2 linked regions of the Callithrix jacchus genome follow. The protein of the gene in region 1 interacts with the protein of each later gene in a pairwise test. Links are inferred from orthologs where the notes say so. Each region holds a gene or a part of one and is shown in the gene's direction. Other genes may lie near its edges.

Region 1 (11,045 bases):
TTGTTTCCAAATTCTGTTTTATTTTTGTTTTCTGGGGCTGACAATCTACTCTCTTGGCTACCATACCTGAGACAGCCCTCTTGGCCCCTGTGCTGGGCTCCAGGCTCTGTAAAACAGACAATGTAAAAATCCAAGTTCACCAGGTACACTGCAGATTTTTCTTTCAAAGGTTTTGATATTTAATGATTCCCAAAGTGAATATAATTTCTTCATGCAATGTATTTCATGATCCAAAAAAGATTGGATGTCTTAATCAGTGATTAAGAATTGACAGTTTACCTTCATTTTTATTGTAAAAGAATAATACTGAATATAACAGGGATGCTTTTAAGCATTTATATTTATATATAGTATTTTATCACACATGATTGTATTATATATGTATGCATTCATGTGTGTCTCTCAATATCTCTGTCTGTCTAGTAGTATTATCATCTCTCTAATCCCCTTAATGGGGAAGGGTCCCTACAGAGGGTGAATTGCTCCAGGCCAGCCCTTTACCCTGGTTGTTATACTGTTACTTCAAATGCTTATAAGAAAGTTCACTATAGAAAACAGATTAAAGAGGAGTTACTTTAATCGAAGTCATTCAAAGCCACTGGCGAACAAAAAAGATCTTTCATTGGAACAGAAAAAATACAGGTGGGGGTTCTAGACCTAGCTCTAATACTAACTGCATGGACAACACTGGGGAAATTTATCAACCTCCCTGCTCTTATGTTAACACCTATAAAAGAAAAGGATGGTGCAAGATTTTTTCTAAAGTCCCATAAATCACTAAAAATGCTTTGACCATAACAGAAATAAATCAGTCTTGCTTAAAATTAAAAAAAAAATCATAACTATTTCCCACAAGTTATCTTTTAAGGTCGGTTATGAATTGACTTATGTCCCCCAAAAAGAAATGTTGAAGTCTTAACTTCAACAGTCATCCAAACATGGCCGTATTTGGAAATAGGGTCATTTGCAGATATAATTAATTATCGTGAGGTCATGCTGGAGTAATTAAGGCCCTTTTTCAATATGACTGGTGTCCTTATAAAAAGAGGAGAAACGAGAAAGAGACAGAAACACACAGGAAGTATTCCAAATGACAACAGAGGCTGAGATTGGAGTGAGATCTATCAGCCAAAGAATGCTGGGGTTGACCAGTAAGCACTGGAAGCTGGGAAGAGGCAAAGAATAGATTCTCCCTAAAAGCACCCACAGGAAACCAACTGAGTTGACACCTTGATTTTAGACTTTCAGTCTCCAGAGCTGTGAGAGAATGAATTTCTGTTCTAAAACACTCTGTTGTTACTTTGTTATAGCAGCCCCAGGAAACAAATATAAATATTAGAAAACAAATATATTTTGCATATGAATTGCTTTTTTACTTTTATGTGTTATGGTTGGTGGAATAAGTATTTATAACAATGCATAACCCAGTCTCAGTTATTTTTCCTTAAATCACATCTTATTTTAATTTATTACAAATACACTGCATTATTAATCCAAATTCTAGAAGTCTGAAATTTCTTTAAAAAATATTAATTTGTTAGTAATAAGCATTTTTTTGGAAAATGTATCTACCTTGAAACAAAACACAGTTACTTAAATGGTCTTATTTTCACCTGCCTCTAGTTTTTAGAGTGGGTAAAGTGAAATGGTTAAGGCCTTTGCCTTAAGAGACTATCAGGATTCAAGTTCTGATTCCACTACTTCCTAGCTACTGTATGTGACCTTGGACAAGTTACTTGGCTATGTCTCCTCAGTCTCCAAAATAATAAAAGCATCAATTTCTTATGGTTGTTGGGTCAATTAAAAGAATTAATAGATGTCAAAGTCTCACATGGTTATTGTCTCATAGCAACTGCTATGGCCTGAATGTTTGTGTTACCGCACACCAAATTCATACACTGAAATCCTAACTCTTAAGGTGATGGTATTCAGTGGTGGGGCTTTTTGAAGGCCCTCATGATTAGGATTGGTGTCCTTATAAAAGAGACAGCAGAATGCTAGTTAGCTCCTCCCACCATGTGAAGACACAGTAAGACCCTTTCTATGGACAAGGAAATGGGCCCTCCCCAGACACTGAATTCGCTGGCACCTTGATCTTGGACTTCATAGCTCCCAGAACTATGAGTAATACATTTCCATTGTTTCTAAGCTATCTAGTTTATAGCATTTTGTTTGTTATAGCACCCTTGGACTTTGACAGTGAATAGGCTGCATAAAACAAGTCTTGACACAGCACTTATCTGATCACAAACATTATGTAGTCCTCCAACACGTATATAAATATGTTAAACACCATCAAAATGTTGACCCCAACCAACATTCTGCTTCTTTTCTCCATTGCTTTGTGTTTGTTGAAGAACCACCCTCCTTTAAAACTCAGCTCATATTTTATATCCAACTGATAGTCTTCCTAGATCACCTACATCAGAATTCTCACTCCCTCCCCTGTGTTCCCACAGCACAAGGGTGAAGCTCTTAAATACAGCATGCCTCGAAGTTATTTGTGCATGCTATGTCCCATTTGATAGACTATTACCTCCAGGAGGGTAGGGTCTGTATCTTTTCAACTTTGTATCCCCCATAGTATCCAGCAGAGAATTTTACACTTAGTAGATCCTCAATAAATGGTTGTTAAACTTGGTTGAACCCACATAATTTTTTTCTTTGTGGCAGATGCCCTAAGACAAAACATAAAACAAATGAATTACTTGTCTTCTCTCCATTGCAATATATATGCCGTGGCTAGTGGGTATTTGCAAGCCTGGTTTAGAACTTAGGGAAGTCATCAATCTAGGAAAGGAGAGGAAATGCATTTTAAATCAAAGGAGCAATATAGCCTTATATAAGGCCTTCTAGCAAAGCGATTATCAATGGCTCAATAACCCAGGTGCTACTGTTATTATGAACGAAAGTCTGAGGGTGAGAGACAATGAGTGATCTTAACTTTTATATTCATAGGTATGCAATTCAATGAAACTTGTACAGATGGAAAGTTTAGGTCTGAGAATCATATCTGTGTATCATAATGCAAATAATTGGCTTTCCTTCTAAAGAACATCTGTTGAGACATCTGAAAGCAGTTGTTTATACGGCTGCCAAAATGCTAAAAAATATAATAATTCTCCAGTGAGGTTAGAAATATCCAGGGGAAGAAAAATACTTTTTTATGTAGTTCTGTTTTATTAAATCTTGTTGTTATTTCTCTAATACGGCACATAGAAGATGCTCAATAATATCTGTTGAATGAATAGCAGAAACTCATTAAACAGTTGTTGAATGAATCATTTTTTTTGTAGACTTATAAGGTACATTTTCAGAAAACTGTATGCCCAAGTTTTACCACATTGTATACCATTTTTATCTGGCATAAATTTAAGTAATGCTATTCTTGCTCTGAACATTATAAGATGTAATGAGCATGGATATCTATAAGAAAAACTATCTTAATGCTACAGAAAATGTATAAATAAACCTAAACAATAGCAATATGTTTAATTTTCTTAATATGTCTCTTTTATTATTATGGAACACTTAAACTTTGAGTTGCAAGCTCATATAAATCATATTTGCTTCAACAAACAAAATAAAATTTAAAACTGCTAACGTGTATAGTTTGATACCTCTAAGAAGATTGTAACTTTGGATTTAAAAGGGCCAAAATATTCTGTTATGAGAAGAAGATGACTACAGAAGATGAAGGAGCCATTTCTCCCCATACCCACTTTCTTGAATTTCCATCAGCTCTCTCTTCCATACTATGTAAGTGAGGCAACTGTGCTCCCTAAAGGCTGCCCAAACTTTACTCTGCCAAGTTTCAGCACAGAAAGAGCATGTTAAATAATAAATGTGAATTTGAGTGTAACTAATAAAATTGGAATGTTAAATAGCAGCATGCTTTTGAAAACCAGCCTCCTTGTGAGGACATTCCTTGTGCAAGTCCATGGGAAATAACTCTGAAGGGAGTGATATTAATTAGTAATATAATTTATCTTCTGGAAGCCCTTTCCTTTGATGGCCGCTGTGGTACAGTTTATAAGCCTCCAAACAAGTGCTCAAAGGAAATGGTTCAAACCACAATTTCAACTTTGTTTTCCACCCTTGAACAGATAAGAGTCAAATTTATTTCGGTATATCTAAATTTTACACATGCCTCTCTATGGTGGAGGATTGTGAGTTATAAAAATACATTTATGAAGAGTTTTTGATGAAATGGTAAAATGCCTGAAATGTAATAAGAGGGAAAAAGACAAAATCCAAAATTAAATTAATGACTTCTGATTCCGGATTTCTTGGTTTCAGTTCTCACTGCCACATACTATGGCAAGATACTAAATTGTTCTGTGCCTCAGTTTCCTCAACTACACTATGAAGATGATGGCAAAAATCATCTCAAAAGGATATAAATTGTTCAAAATAGTGCCTGGCAAATAATCAATAACAAATTATTATTATTACTGATTCACAATCATTTCAAGTTTATAAAGGAAGAATGAAGAGTGAGGAGGGCTACCTGGAAGAGAATTGGTAAACTGTTAATATGTACTTCTAAATAATATGCTTATGGGCAGTTCTTTTCTGCTTTGTATACCTTTCAGTATTTATTCTTTTAAAATAAAGCCAAAGAATTAAGTTTTATGCATATGTGGCTTGATGGAAATTAAGGTGGAAATTTGGAATAAGTTAAAATGCATAACTGATTAGACTACATCATTAATGAAACATTAATTAAGCCTATTGTGAGGTGGCAGAATTAACATTTACCTTATTTTACTTAATTTTAAACACATTCTAGCAAATTACTTTTTAAAGTGCAACCAACATCAATTTTACATTCAGAAATAAAGTCAAACGTTTATTTTACTTAATTTTAAATAAATTCTAACAAATTACTTTTTAAAGTTCAACCAACGTCAATTTTACATTCAAAAATAAAGTCAAATGTTTATTATAATGTCAGTATTTCAACCTACTAAAACTAAAAATATTTTAATTTTTGATTTAAAAAAATCCCACGCAAAAGTCCCAAAGGTGCCTTTCATGTTTAAGCTTTAATTAGCAACCACTTTGTGCTCTGACACATATTGCGCAGATATTGAAGTGTTAATATTACTGCAGCTTGATTACAAAAGGCAATGATTAATTTTAAAGCAGACAAAAAAGATATGCCCTGATTACAAAGGAATGATTAAGGCGGAATGTCAGACATTGCACATTTATAGCAGTCTTTGCCATCGTCAAAGGAAAAGACTTTGTGCAAGTTTATATTTAGAATCATAGTTACTCTGTGCTTTATAATATTGGGTATTTATGCCTTGGATACCGAGCATCTCAACTGCAACTGGGCCTAAGACCTTCGGGGCTCACGTGCCCAGGGCAAACCCGCTGACCGCAGGATGGGCCAAACGAGCCGCCGTAGTTTAGGTTCTCACAGGCAAAGCTGGACCTGAGGCGCTGGCCCTTGGCATACGGAAGGTTTTGGCCCCGGGTTTTGTTGGCAAGTATCATTTTGCTTAAAGACAGAGCACTTTGAGGACATTATCCCTAAAATGAGAGAGGACTGGGATTAAAGGGCTGACTACAGAAAGGGCTGTTGCCCACACGCCCTCAAAAGCCAAGGTCTGCTATTTTTATTGCCACCAAAGCGAAGACAAACCCGTAGGGGGACGGGGGCCTGCGTCAGGGGTTCCACCAGGGAAAAAGGCAGACCTTGAACCTGCCCTCTTAGGGCGTGAGGGAGAAAAGCCCGGTTTGTAAACTGTAACGGGAAACCAAGGCTGAGGGCAGGAAGGGGCGGCAGCGGCCGGCGTCCCTGGACCCTCAGACCCCGCAGACTCCGTCCGGCGTCGGCTCCATCTTCTTGCTGGGCCGGCGACCGAGAGTTGGACAAAGGCCTATCTGGGAATAGTTCTAGAAGACTCCATCTTCTTTATTGTGCTTTCCAGGATCCTCAGGGTTGGTCATAAAATCTTGAAGGGAGAGAAAAGGATCGCAGGAGCCAGGCCCTGAGATGAGCTTGGAGTCCCTGTTTCAGCACATCATCTTCACCGAGCATCAAGCGGAGGAGAGTCGCCGTTTGATGCGAGAAGGTCGGGGGATTTCTGTCCTTTGCATGGGGCCTTTCGTCTTCTGGTGCTGGGTGCTTGGAGCAGAAGGAAATCCCGTAGGCAGTGGTCAGAGCCCTTAGGGGAGCTTGCTTGTCATGCTGAGGGAAAGACAGCTGAAAGGTGGCTTCTCAAACGCCGCCAACATCGGACTTTAGAAAGATCTATGTGTTTAAAAATTTAATTTTTGTTATAGTGAGGTTGGAAATAACCAGATGTCGTGAAAAAATTGAGAAAGCAACGGAGAAGCTGAATGAAGAGAAAATCGAGCTGGAATCTAAGGTATTGAAATGTAGAGCATACTAATTATTACTTGAGAAAGCCTGCCTTCACTTGACTTTTGGGGATATTTCACTGTTTAACCAGCTGTCCTTCAGGTAGGAAGCACACTACTTTTGTGCTGGCTGTTTTAGTTCCATGTTGCCTGGTAATGTTGAAAGTTCTGAATCCAGTGACCCCTTCAGTTCCAATATGAATTTGCCCTAAAGAATCTAAGGTAATGAAGAATTCGTTGTTTATTTTGTGGGATGGTTAAGGTTTTAAAAGAGCACAATGTCATTAGAAGAATCATTATGTTACTTAAAAAGTAGGTGCAGTATATACATTTTGAATGATAATTTGTGTGCTACGTTGATATAACAATTGTATGTAACTTTCAAAACAAGCCCCTGCCTTTTGTTTTAAAATTCTCTGCCACATTTTAGACATGCCTGGCATCCAAACTATGTTTTCCACTAGCATTCCTCTCTTTCCTGCAGTGTTTGTAAAGTTCTGTTATTTTAAATAGAAGCAAGAGAGTCTGATGGCTTTTGAAGGAGGATTTTGAAGGGTGGATAGAATTTTTGAAGAGGCAAACAGAAGGAAGTAGCAGGAGAAAAGCATTCCAGACAGAGAGGAGGCAAATATGATCCAGTGCGTATGTTAAAGGAATCTAGTCAAACCAGAGGGCTGATATCTGGGAATAGCAGAAAACCACTGCAAATTTCTGATCGGGGAACAGTAAAAGTGGTTTTAGGTAGCCCAGTATGGTGGCATGTGCTTTTAGTTCCAGTTACTTAGGAGGCTAAAGTGAGAAGACAGTTTGAACCCAGGAGTTTAAGGCCATCCTGGGCAACATAGGGAGACCTCGTATTTAAAAAAAAAAGGTAGCTTTAGGAAGATCTTTCTGACCTCTGATTGTCAAGATGGGAATAGATTATTAGGAAGCAAAGAACATTATTTAAGTGTGCCACAATGAAGACCTTGCTATGGGTGGGGACAGAGTTATTCAAAATTATTTATTAAATAACCAATGATGAACTAAACAAGCAATGTGTAATGTGAAGTCTGTTTGAGGAAGTTTTTTTGCTTCAAATATATCTATTTTAGCTTACCACTGTGGGGAATTTTCAGATTTCTTTGAGAATGAAATAATCAGAGAACATTACTCCATCCAGCGAACATTTCTCCATCAGCTCTTCTTTCCAGGTGTTGCTCAAACATGACCAATAAAGCCTTCCCATAGACATCTTGGTAAAATGATACATACCTGTATTTGTGTTTGCATCCCCCACTATTTTGTGAGCAACATATGTGGAATTTTTTCCTTATCCATCTTTTATTCCCACTGCTTGTTATCTAACACTTAGTATATCATATACAGTAGTGTGTTGAAAGAATTAATTAGTACTAATAGTTTGATAGATAATAGGGAGAGTCTTTGAAAATATAATTTGTAGCTATCATTCGGAGAAAATGCCTACCATTGTTTAGAAACATTTGTTGAAATTTCTAATTAATATCATAAGCATGCATTGCTTTTTAACCAGCTCATATATGTGGGTAATAATACATTTGTATCTAACAAAATTAACAGATGAGGCTCACAGTTCATACAATACTAATTTATAATTGAATAGTTCGATTTATAATTATAGTCAAGATGGTATTTATATGTGCATAAAGAATTAAAAGTAGAACCACAATTATAATGCAAATGACTAATGGAAGAACTGAAGATGTAAGCCTAAATTGATTTCTTGTTTCTTTTATTCTGAGTTAATTATATGTCTGCCAATAACAATGAAAATATATTTACTTGGCATTTATTGACCCATTTATCAAATGGCAGCAGCAGAAGGAGAAATTGTTAGTAGAACTTAATTTGAATTCAGCAGTACTTGAGCTATGGTACAGGGATACATTCAGAAAATTTTGGGGGCATTTATTTTGGATGTTGCTTCTGGTCAATAAATGTATTTCGGAAGTACAGTATTCATTTTTTTCTTTTCTGTAAAATCCGGATAGCATGTAATTAGAACTTGAATGATAGCATTTGCCTTGCAGGGCTCAATGAGTCTTTTAAAATATATGGTTGCAAAAGTCTCAAGTTATATAGTATGAGTACTTTATGAACTGGACAGCTACACTATGCCTGGTTACATTTGGTAATATGAAAACAGAAAAATGAGAACATGCTCTGGATTTTCATTCATGCTTCCCAATATACCTAAAACTTCTGATAGTCGAGGAAAGGTTGTGTAGTATTGATGATGGCAAACCAAAATTAAGGACTCAAAGAACATTGGTAGTTTCTTTTAAATATCTAAGAGAGGTTCTTCTATTTTTAAAAAATGGCATATAATTATAATTTTGACATTTAATTTTTATAAACATATTACATTAAACCCAATATAATGCCATATTCCCTAAGAGGGAGTAAATGGAGGACAATCTGAGGCTATTTTGTGAATATTTTATTTATTTTTTTCTGTTTCCAATTTTAACTTGTTGTATAAACACCATAACAATAATAAAATAATATTTCATGAATTTGTAAAGGAAAATTATATTGAAATAAAAAAGTAACTTAAGGTGGCTCCACTTACTTTTTTGCCTCAATATGTATGTGTTCTTTTTTTTTAATTGGTAAAAGTTAGGAAGCCTCCCAGAACAGCAGGCAAAGTCATATCCTTTGGTACTGTGTTACCTAATTAGAGAAAGAACAAAATCACAAATTACTATCATTTATAATATTGAAATGGAGTTTTGTAATTGGAGTGCTTTTTTCTTTCTTTACACTTAATTGAAAAATTTAGACCCTACCTAAATTTAATTTTATTGTTGACAGTTATTCATTCAACAAACATTTCATTGAACAACTGCTAAATCACACTATGAATACTTGGCAAATAAATTATATAACACCTTCCTTCCGGAATTACAGGATTGACGTCAAGCAACTTCAACTGTATAAACCTAACTGTAAACTCAAAATTTTTGATGTTCTCATTTAAAGAAAAAAACTTACTTTCATTTTTTAATGAAATTCTATAAAGAAAGGCTATCACATTTGTCATGAATAATTATCCAAAACTTGGAAACAGGCAAACGAGGTCACTGAGTGTCCTTTGAGTATTTTATTAGACATTGTCCAGTAGCTCACCTTCTTGAGGACAGTCAGGGTTTTAGGGGTGTGAACCTTTGTTCTGGGCTTTTTTTTATATAGGTATATGCCAATCATTCTTTGACCCCAGGGCCTTTGCACTTGCTGTTTCCTCTAATTGAAATGCTGATTCCCATAGCTGTTATTCTGTCATGCTCACTCACTTCATTTAGATCTCTCCCAGTAGAATCATGTGAGATTTTTAGTGCTAACACTAGGATAGTCCCATGCAAATCTTGACGGTTGTTAGCCTAGGTCTCAGTTGTCACCCTAGAGCATTATTCTTAAAGTGTGATCTCTGAATTCAAAGGAGTCCTCAGGACACTTTTAGGGAGTTTGTAAGGTCAAGCTATTTTCATGATAATATTATACAAAGGCACCATGTGCCGTTTTCACTGTGCTAATGCACACATTAACAGTGCAAAAGCAGTGGTGAGTAACAGTGTTAGCACCTTAACATAAATCGAGGCACTGGCACCAGACTGTACTAGTAGTCATTGTATTCTACACTGCCATGCATTCTCAGTAAGAAAACAAAAACCTCTAGTTTTATTTAATGCTTTGATTGTAGTGTCAAAAATGTTAATATTATTGAAACCGATGGTTGAGTGTATGTGTTTTCAACATTGTGTATGATTACATGGGAAGCACAGCTAAAGTACTTCTATATTCTGAAGTACAACGATTATCTCAAGCGAGAGCATGTGTGCAGTTGTTTGAGATGCAGTATGAGCCAGCTATTCTTTTTCTGAAACACCATTTTTACTTAGATAATTGACAGTCAAATTGTAGTTATTTAGATTTGGGTGTTTGGCAAAATTCTCTAAAAAACAAATGAAGTAAGCCTAAAATGTCAAGGCAAACATCTGACATTCTTCTTATTTTGCCAATGATAATATACAAGCTTTCAAACAAAAATTAGAATTTTGGAGGATTACTATCTATCTGTTACCATCAGCTTGGCAGCATCCTGGTACTTAAAAGATTTTTCTGGTGAGTTCGTTAGTGATATTAATGAATATGAATGCTACTTTTGAAACATTATGTTTCAAAATGTTTCAGAATGTTACTTTTGAAAGCATATTATGAAATATATCAACATTGGGAGGATCTACATAATTCAGGGAAGGAGTAAGTAATGCATAAAGTTACAAAACTCTGCATGGATGACAGAGAGACTTAAAATGCAAGATAGACCAAAGGATTGTATTTCAACACAGAATGAAAAGTTCATTGAAATGGTTTCAGATTCCACATTGCAACTAATCTTTAAGGAATTACCACATGGTGAATTTTGATGTAGTAACAAAGAATATGCACAATCATTTCCAACTATATACCCATGCACTCCATATTCTCCAACTGAAAAACAATACAAAAGATTGACTAGAAGCAGAAATGGGAGTCCAGCTGTATTCTTTTTAATTTTTAATTTGTTTTTATTTATTTATTTTTACGAGATAGGGTCTTACTCTGTCACCCAGGTTGGATCTCAGTGGCACAATAACAGCTAACCCCTG
Region 2 (10,348 bases), about 38 Mb from region 1:
TTTATTCTGGGTCTTATTTTCATTCACAAGGATTTTGCCATGCTCCCCACATTCCCACACTTACTTCTCTAGATTAAGGATGTAATTTTCTTTAAAAGCTGTTCCTCTATATCTCTTACATCCAGTCTATCACCAAATGCTGCTGAGTATTCCTTCAAAATATTCCTTACCTCATCCATCTATATTGCTGTTACCCTTACAACTTCTTTCAGTGGACTCAATGTGCTTGCCTCTTGTCTGTCCTTTCCCCTATCCTGTGATATGTTTTCCATCGGGTAGTTTTCCCTGCTTGTGTACTTGCCTATGGACATGATTTTGTGTGTCATATTTACTTAAAAAACACTCTTATGATCGGAGCACCTTTTAATCATAGTATGCTTTTTTGGCTCAACAGATAAATCTGCTTATGATGATCTCTCAACTATGCCAATGCTCAGTAATGGCAAATATTTTACCTTCTATAGGCCTGTACTTCTTCTTCTTTTTTTTTTTACTTTACATTCTGGGGTACATATGCAGATCATGCAGGGTTGTTGCATAGGTGCATACATAACTTGGTGGTTTGCTGCCTCTATTTCCCCTTCAGGCCTGTACTTCTTGACCATCTCCGAGAAACCAGGGCTGACAAGAAGAGACTGCGGAAAGCCTTAAGAGAATTTGAAGAACAGTTTTTTAAACAAACAGGAAGGTGCGTGTGGGCAGAGAGACTTTTAAAGCCTACTTCCTAGAGAATTATTGTTAATAATGAACTGCAATTTTTTGGCAGCAACAGTGACTTTTTATGAAATGTATATAATTCCCACACTAGCTTAGACTCAGGATTTGTTCAATCCAACATTCTGATAGTGCCAATATTAGGGATGTTTTATGGGACATGGCAGCTGTCAAGCATGACGTCAATCTGTAAAAAATAAAGGATAAACTCTAAAAATCTCTAAGTTTGCGCAATAAATCTCATCATAAATAAATGGATTTATTTAAACCTTTAAAAAATCTATTTTCATTTTTTTTAGCCTACATAATGCTTTGTTGTTGGTTTCTCAGTTCTGCAAGTTACTCCCTACTTTATTAAATAATAATTCCTTATTTGCTTTAAATGTCTTCCTTAGAAGTCAAGATCTGTCCCTAATTATTTGATTTCAAGACTTGATAAAAAAATTCATAGTCATTCTTTCTACCCCTTAAATAAATGGTTAGCTTTATCATCTCTCCTCTACTTTTCTGTGTAAACCCAAGTCTCATTATACACTCTATTAGTTTCCTCTAATTTTTGGTGTATGTATCAACAACAAAATTACATACATAATTGGGAGATAAGGGTTATTGATCCACTTTTGGAAGAGAGATAAATTACTTAAGTTATCTTGAGCCTCAGTTCCCACTTTATAAGCTGAAATGACTGGACTCCTAGAATACTTTGGGAAGCTACAGCTGTCACGTGAGATAACAATCTTTAAAAAAATAAATAAATCTAGAGTGTAACTTTCCCACAGCCACAAGTTACTAAGTAGATAACATGACATTAAACTCATCATTCAAGTCATAAACTTATCAGTGCTACACTGGCTTCTCTGTATTCATCTCCATTTAGGTATTGTATTTGACCTTTCAGTTCAGCAGGCTGAGAGTTGTCCTCAAGGAAAGGGACTATTTTCCCAAAGCACCTTGAAACTCTCAAGCTTGGTCTACTCACCTCTTAGTCCCTGGCAGGTTTTCCATGTTAGCCTGCCAGGGATATTCTTTAGGACTGGACCTATTGAGTGAAAAGCTCTTTGCATTCAGCAAATACAGATGTAACAACTTACTTTCTATCTGTAATCTTGAAGTTGATTGCTACAAGTCCAACTTACCTTTTTGGTGATGTTAACTAATCTAGTGAGAAATGGTATGTGGCTCATAAATTTAGAATATAAAGCATTTGTTACTAATTTACTTTTTCCATACTTTTTTCTTTTATAAAATGTTCATGTAACTTTCCTTGCAAAACATTCCTTTGAGTAATAATTTTTTCTGGACTGTCTGCTATATTTGGGTAAATATGTAACTTGCACTATAAAGTCCTTGATATCTGCCTCTTTTGGATTAATGGTATGTTATGGGAATTTTTCATTCAGGGAAATATTTGTGGAGATGTTATCAAATATTCTAAATCAAACAGTCATTACATATGATAAATGATACTTTAAGATGTGCATACATTATTTTCATAAATTTGAGTTCTTTGAATAAATTTATATTTTTACCAGTTTGAACCCAGGAATCTATCTTAAGGGGTCTGAGAACCTCCCAGTGTGCTACTAGTCCTGCCTAGTGGATCTGCAGTGTCACTTAGTATGCTTTTGGTCATAAAGGGAAGTTAGTTATGTTCTATGCATAGTATAGAACATAACTGACACTGCAAGTATGAGTCCTTTTTTTTTTTTTTAATGAGGGAAGAAAATAACAAACAAGTAGCCAACCAATATTTCATTTAAACCTGTGAGTGGCTGTGATGTGGTACTGATAAGAGTGTATATTTTATGTATTTAAAGTGGAGAGTTCTATAAATGTTTATTAAGTTTACTTGTTCCGGATCTAAGTTCAAGTCCTGGTTATCCTTGTTAATTTTCTGTCTTGTTGATCTATCTAATATTGATGTTGAAGTCTCCCACTATTATTGTGTAGGAGTCTAAGTCTCTTTATAAGTCTTATGTATCTGGGTGTTCCTGTATTGGGTACGTATATATTTAGGATCGTCAGCTGTTCTTGTTGCATTGATCCTTTTACCATTATGTAATGACCTATGAGTCCTAAGCCCAAGTCAGATAAGCCTATATTTGGCTTTGAAGTTTATGCCCCTTTGTGGTGACATATTTCAACTAAATGCACAAATGATGATCTTTTACAACTAAAATCAAACCATTGAATGGCTAGGAATTATGGACCTTAATTTTCTTTATCTAAGACATTTCACTGGGAAGGCCTAACTATCCATAAGGTAAAATAACTATGCAAATGAATTAAAATGTTTAAGACACTGTAAATGTTCTTGGTAATATTTGCCATAGAAGAGGCATGAGAATCATATAGATATTACATTATTATTAATAATTATGAGCCTGCCACTGTGGTAAGCACATCAGTATGTTTTATATAATGGGGAAACTGCTTCAGGAAAGACTTAGCAAAACTTTTCATTCGTGTCAAAGCACTCTTATTAACCAAAATGGAATATGTAAAACTAGGGAAAATTACATAATGCATTATTAATGGTTCTCTGTAATAATTAGGAAATTTCTTTACTTAGATTTATTTATAGAAATTAAGATGGTATTCAGACACCCAGTTATGATAAGTTTGACTCATAACACAGAATGAAGGTAAAGGATTTATGTTATATAATTTAGACAATAGTTAAGAAGAATGCTTTCTATGGATTTGTATACTGTTCTGAGTTCTGTACTAGAAATTGCAGGGCAATAAATAGTTATGAAATACAAGTAGATACTACATTCATAGACAATCTGTATAGATTAGCTTGTTTTTTATTTGGTAAGAGATAGAAATATCTCTTTATCACTATTGGAAAAATAGAAAGGGGTAAAGGTAAAACATTAAATATATGCTATTTACCTGGTTTCAGCCATAGTAATATTAGACAGTATTTGTGGTTATATTCAGTTGTAATTGTAGTGACTATATCCGTGTCCTCAACTCCTTAAATTTCAAAGTCATGGGTGCAAACGTTTTCAAAACAATTTGCTATCTTATTAACCAAAAAACAAGAGACTTTTGAGACCCTGTCGCAATTATTTCCTTTAGAAAACATTCTGACAACATATTTTTGTGGGAAGGCAAATGGTTTTAACTCCTCATGTTACCAAGGTATTCATCTAAGTCAACAGCAAGCGCATACTGCATATGTATAAAAATCTATGCATTGTTACATGTTTAGCCTTAGTAGAATTAGTGTACAGAAGAGAACCACTGCAATGTAGATTCTCATAAATTACTTCAATTAAGGAACAGATCAGTGGTTCTACTATATATTAGCAGACACAGGTATTATAATTACAAGAAAGTCTGGAAATGTTTCAAATTTGTAAGAGAGACCCTGAATGCTTTTCTTGTTACCATAAGTTATTAAATTATTTTTAAAATGTAATTTATGTAGTATTTTCAGGTTAATATTTTTAACCACTCTATTAGGGCTGAACATTTTGTACAAGTATAGGACTGTGACAGATAGTGGGAGAATGACTGGACAAAGAATGCCTTGAAAGTTTTGGTTTTTGTTTGTTTATTTCCCCTTAGATCTTTTCACTTACCCCATTGTTGTAAGTCTATGCACTGGACCACAAATTTTCAAAACACTTATGTCATTCAAGTTTTCAAAGGTTACTATTATTTAGAAACTTAAACACATGGAAGAGAGAGTGAATGAAAGTGAAAGGGAAGTAAAAGAAGATATGATGCAAAAACCAAGTGGAAGCTGTTACAATATGCTTTTTCATATTTGAATTGTAAAAGAATATTTAATGACTGGATTCATTGTGAACTAATAAACGTATTTTTTTTTTTGCAGAAGTCCACAAAAGGAAGACAGGATACCAATGGCAGATGAGTATTATGAATATAAGCACATAAAAGCCAAACTGAGACTATTAGAGGTCCTCATCAGCAAGCAAGATGTGGCCAAAACTATTTGAGGTTCAGGAAATGTTATGATTACTTTCACCCATGATATAAAGTCAAGTTTATTTTTCTCTGCCACCCTTGCTAAGTAGTTCTGACACAATGAAGATGGAAGCACTTTAGTTGTAGTCTTAGCTGTTTTTAAGAAGGATTAACAAGTTTAATTACATACAAGGAGAAGGGATTTAAATGGAAGGAAGGATACAACAGGTAGCCATATAATTGGGAAACAATTCAGTGTCCTCCATGCCAAGCAGAAAACTTACAGTCAATATAATTATTTTTAAAAACTTCTAATAGTTTATCAAATCTAAACAACATAGCTGGGACACTTGTTAGGGGAAGTTTTAGTATCCAAAGATTGTTTATGATGTATGAAAAAGAGCATGATTTTAAAAAATCAATAAGAGGAAGAAAACAAATTTTTCTTTTCAGGTAGGAAAGAATACAGCTAGCAAGAAAGTAATTTATTTGAAACTTCTGATGGATTTTGAGTGATAAAACATTTACTATCTTGTCCCTTAAGTCTGTGAGGCTTTCAGTACCCTAAAATAAACTAGATTGTGTCACTGCAATTTTTTTTATTTCTCTATAAAAATAACATTATTTTATCTGTTATTTGAAATTTTACATTTCTGGTTACCAAAGTTCATTCTGACAGCATGTACTTTGTGAATTACTATCTTTGTCTATAACTGACAGATGTTTATATTAAAATAAAATATTGTATTAAAAATTTAAAATAGGTATTTTGGATAGATATGTGTCTGCAGTATATAATCTAATGTGACCATAGTATTACTGCTAATCCTTTTGTTTACTATAAGATTATATAACTATTTTTTCATTGGGAGTATACATTTTTCTTAATGTTGCAAGGTATATACTTTGTAAAGTCAAAAAATTTCCCATGAGCTGAAGTTATTCTTCCATCTGTACAAAATGAAAGATTTGGAAACTGTTTGCCCTGACACCTTGGAAAAGAAGCCAGAATATTTATTTGCTTCATCAACTTTAGTGCATATCATTTTGTGTTATTTTATACTAAGACCTGTTTATTATTTTCATTTTTGTAAAAGGAAGTAAAAGGGCAACATTTTCTCTCATGTAGCAACCATGTTTGTATTTCTATTTTCTGTAATGTTTAAGAATGATGTTGAAGAAATTCACATTTTCTTATAGTTTTAATGGGAAGACTATTGACTATTTCAGAAATAGACTATTTCAGAGGCTTATTGTTTTCTCTGTATTTACCTAATATTTTATAACTTTATGAATCAGAATAATGTCCTTCATAAATTTGTTTAATTGAAGTCATCTACTTGTAACAGGACAGATACAGAATTATTTGAGGTTTACAAATTACATCTTTGATAAGGGAAATGATTTCATGACATGTATACAATTGCTATTAAAATGTAACTCTATATATTCTATATGATTGTAAATATTTTATACAACAATACAAATAAAATATTTTTCTATTATATTTATTATGTTGATAACACAGTAGTTGTTTCCTGTTAGCTAATATAAATAACATAAATAACACTGTCAAACAAGGAGTTGGAAATGCTGACAATTCTAGGCTTCAAGATTTAACTCATGCTGCAATTACACCCTTTCATGCGATTTGGAGTTATTCCAATATTTATTCAGTAGATTAAAATGAATGCATATTTAAACACCATTTATAAGCCATTATTTTGTACTTTGCTAAAGCAGTCTATATAACTGTTTTGTTATGTTTGGCATAAAGGAAACATAAAAACATTGCAGCAACTAGGCAATAAAGTGTCAGAAGAACTTAGGGTATGTCATCATTGAAAGTAGTGGGAGGGGTAGGGAATAGGAAAACACTAAAATGGCTCTGAATGAAATTTGGAAAGTGGTATTTTGTTTTTGGCGACAGTGGCATGTGCATGCTTCAGTGGAAAACATCTGATGATGAAAATGGACAACAGAGGACCAATGCTCCTAAGGGAAGAAAAGGGGCTGAGTAAGAATAAGAAGAGTGGGCATTAACGTCCAACACTGATATTACAGGTTTTGCAGCTGGGATCTTTCTTTGCATTTGCAGTAGACAAACTCATGAGCTGATGACCAGTGATTTCTGCCACGGTGCCCAGAGAAAGATCCACAGGGTCAGTGTAAATGACTTCTAAAATGACATCCTGGGCATGGTGGTAAACCAGCACCCCATCTTCTTCTGTACAGGTCAAAAATTTATTATCCTTAGAATTTAGTTGAGGAAGGCGCTGCTTACAAAATTCATCTCCTGGTGATCCCACAGGAGCAATAACAAGAATCACATAATGATAAGCAGTGTACATACAGTAGAAGTCCCCAAAGTATAAGTTAGTATTGGGGTTAAAAAGTTTTTCTGCTGCAATCTCAAACCTGTATCTTCCATAAGGTGAATCCTGGGGTGGCTTTCCAGTATTGAATTCAGTGCTGCAGCTGAAGAAGATGCCTTCTAATTTTCCACTGATAGGAGAGCCATGGCTACCACTGTTATCCTTGACAGAGGGCTGCATAGCATTCCCATGATGTTCTCTGCAAGAGAAAACAAGTGGTCACTGCTTAATACAATTGTGGTAAACCCATTGATTTATATATTTGAATGGCCCACATGTCAAACATCTACTGTTAAAGGCCTGAATACCTCTCCTATCAGACTAAAGGGGCAACATCTTTTGATATTGCCTATAGATGGCTGAATTCTATCCTTGACCTTAAGGTAAGGATGATCTGCTACAAACCTTGCATTAAATTAACATAATTATATAAATTTCCTCACCAGAAAAATTAAACTGGACTTAGAAACCTTACAGGTAAAATCATACATACATTAACTGCCAACTAGGTTTCAGAAGTGGCTTTTTGAAGGGAAAACTGAACTAAAGGTATTGGCTAGTTAAATATATTGAATGTTTTTAAAATGAGTCCTGTCCATTTATACTGGTACAAAAGTGTTGTGTTTTGTTTTGGCTTTTTAACACAAGGATGGTTTACTAATCAGGTTATTTCTCTGGCATTTTGCTTAGAACAGTGCTGGTTATTCCCCCTTTACCTCACCCTCAGATCCATTCATTCTCCACCACAGTCTTCCACTGTGGCCTGGAACTCTTATTCAGTTCCTTATCCCTTGGACTCTTCCATTTCAGTTCTACGAATGTAAGACACCAACATATATAGAGTTGGAGGAGATAGAGACTTTGGTGTGTCTTTCTATATTTCCTCCATGCTTCAGGGCATTCTGTTTCTGGCAGGGCTGGGTTCTTCATAACTATGTATACCTGACTACTGCTACTGCTACTGCTGGATGAGTTCCTACTCCCTTTAATTCCCAAGAAGAGTAAAACTTTTCAATTCCTGCTAGTTCTTGGTTACATTAGCATCCCTTACTTGGTATCTTAACCCTGACTACACCTCTATAATGGGTAGTTTTGTTAAATTCTCTCCAGAATCCCTCAAATGTGCCTTGGTTTTTTTATTTTGTTTTGTTTTTTGTTTGCTTTGCTGGCTCCCTGACCAGTATGACTTGGGAGGCAAAGTTCAAGCTACGACTCAAGCAAGGGAAAGTTCCCTGGGTCAACGTGCTTCTTAAAGAGTTTATGGATCATTGAGATGTGCACTCGATCTACCTCTGAATTTAGCAGCAATGGATCTTAAATTTACCACCTGAAAACCAGCTAGGGAGCTTATTTTATGCAAATTCAAGGAAAGACCAAAAAATTGTCGCAGTTAAGAGAATAAGGAAATATAACAAATAAATGCAGTGTGATATTCTGGATGTGACCCCATACTTTTACTTGGACTGTTCTTTTTTCCTTCTGATGTTCCAATATTCCTTCTTTTATTATTTCCTTCTTTCCTATTTCAGAAACTTCCTTTAAGATAGATATGCTGTTGACAAATCCTCTTAGTTTTCCTTTATCTGAGGATATCTTAATTCCCTTTTATTCTTGAAGGATATTTTCACTGGATATAGAATTCTCAGTTGACAGTGCTCTTTCAGCATTTGAAAATATTATACCACTTCCTTTTGGTCTAGATAGTTTCTGATGATGATGTCATTCAAATTGTTTTATTTTTCCTTACACATAAGGTGTCTTTTCTCTCAGCACTTTCAAGGTTTTTTTTTGTCTTCAGTTTTCAGTTTGTGATGTATCTTGGCATGGATTTCTTTGGATTTACCCTATTTAGGGTTTTCTTAGATCGAATCTGTATGTTTATGTTGTTTGCCAAATTTGGGAACATTTTGGCTATTATTTCTTTGAATACTTTTTCAGTCCCACCCTCCTTCTCCTTTCCTTCTTGACTTAGTCTCACAAGTCCATAAGACTGATATATTTTTTTTTTCAGTGAGTTTTATCTCTGTTGTTCAATTTAGGTAATTTCTATTCTATCTTCAAGAAGTTTACTGGTTTTTTTCTTTGTCCTCTTGAATCTGCTGTGGAACGCATGGAATCTATCCAGCTTTTTACTTTACTTACTGTGTGTTTATGTTCCAAATTTTTCATTTAGTTCTTTATACCTTCTCTTTCTTTGCTGCTTCAAATGTGTTAGTATGTGCTTGTTGAACCATTTTTATGGTGCCTGCTTAAATATCTTTGTCAGATAATTCTAAGATCTGCATTATTTTGGTTTTGGTATCTTTTATCATCTTTTCTCATTCAGGTTAAGACTTTCCTGGGTCTTGGTGTGATGCATGAGTTCCATTAGTATCCTGGACATATTATGTTATTATATTCTGGATCTTATTTAAATCTAGTATTTTAGCAGTCCTCTTCTTGACTACCAATGGGTGAAGAGTATGGGGTAGTCACTTAATTGATGTTGATGGGGATAAAAGTCCAGGTTTCCTACTCAGTCTCCAGTGACACAGGCTAGGGGGTTCAGTTACTACTTGGAGGAGATAGGAGTTTAGACTCCCACTAGGCCTGTGCTTACATACTATAGGCCAGAGAGAGAAGGGGTGTCTCATTACTACTTGACATGTAGGTTTCACAAACTATGAAGGCAACCCTCATTGTCTCCGGGCAATGGTGGAAAATCCAGTCTCCCTATTCAGCCTTCTCTGATACCACCCTAGCAGAGGGTAGAGAGAGGGGGGTGTCCCCTTATAGATGTGAGAGGGTAGAGGTTTAGGTTCCCCTCTTAGCCTTGGCTGGTAGATGGGGGACTACAGTTTTTTTTTTTTCTACAGTGTTTGCCTGGAGTATGGCAGTTATTGTCCAAAAGGTTTCTGTATTGGAAGACCTCAGTTTCTTTCCTGATCCTGTGCATAAACAAACATACTTTCTGGTGTTCTTTTTTTTTGTTTGTACCAACTGGCATGTCTGTGTTGCCAGATACTCCAGCACCTAGTCCAGAATGTAAGAGGTTAAAAGAAAACCCAAGGAACTCACCACTGTGCTGTTGAATCCCAAAGGTCCCTAGCTGATACATCTTCTTTCCCCCTTAGTTTTCTTATATTTATTTTATATATAATGTCCAGTGCTTTTAGTTGTATTTAGTGGGAGAAATAGGGAAAAGAGTGTCTACTCCCTTTTGTCCCCATTCAAAATTTCTCACCCTTGTTACATTCTGATTAACAAAACCCAAATATCTATATTATATGTGTCCTACCTGGATCTATAAGTGCAATGACATGAAATAATAGCAACAA

The links.
Region 2: the proteins of CCDC172 (region 1) and FAM13C interact in binary tests that used the Homo sapiens proteins (3 or more experiments, as listed by UniProt). The two-hybrid records come from large-scale screens. The link is inferred for Callithrix jacchus from reciprocal best matches to the Homo sapiens genes CCDC172 and FAM13C.

What each region holds. Positions count from the first base shown.
Region 1 is NC_133513.1:109,271,751-109,282,795, forward strand, and holds the start of CCDC172 (coiled-coil domain-containing protein 172), read left to right. Parts: upstream 1-5,409; 5' UTR 5,410-5,494; intron 5,495-5,942; 5' UTR 5,943-6,007; coding exon 6,008-6,086; intron 6,087-6,297; coding exon 6,298-6,383; intron 6,384-11,045.
Region 2 is NC_133513.1:71,262,796-71,273,143, forward strand, and holds the end of FAM13C (protein FAM13C), read left to right. Parts: intron 1-586; coding exon 587-688; intron 689-4,564; coding exon 4,565-4,688; 3' UTR 4,689-6,161; downstream 6,162-10,348. Other genes in the region: PHYHIPL (phytanoyl-CoA hydroxylase-interacting protein-like), read right to left, coding at 6,696-7,230.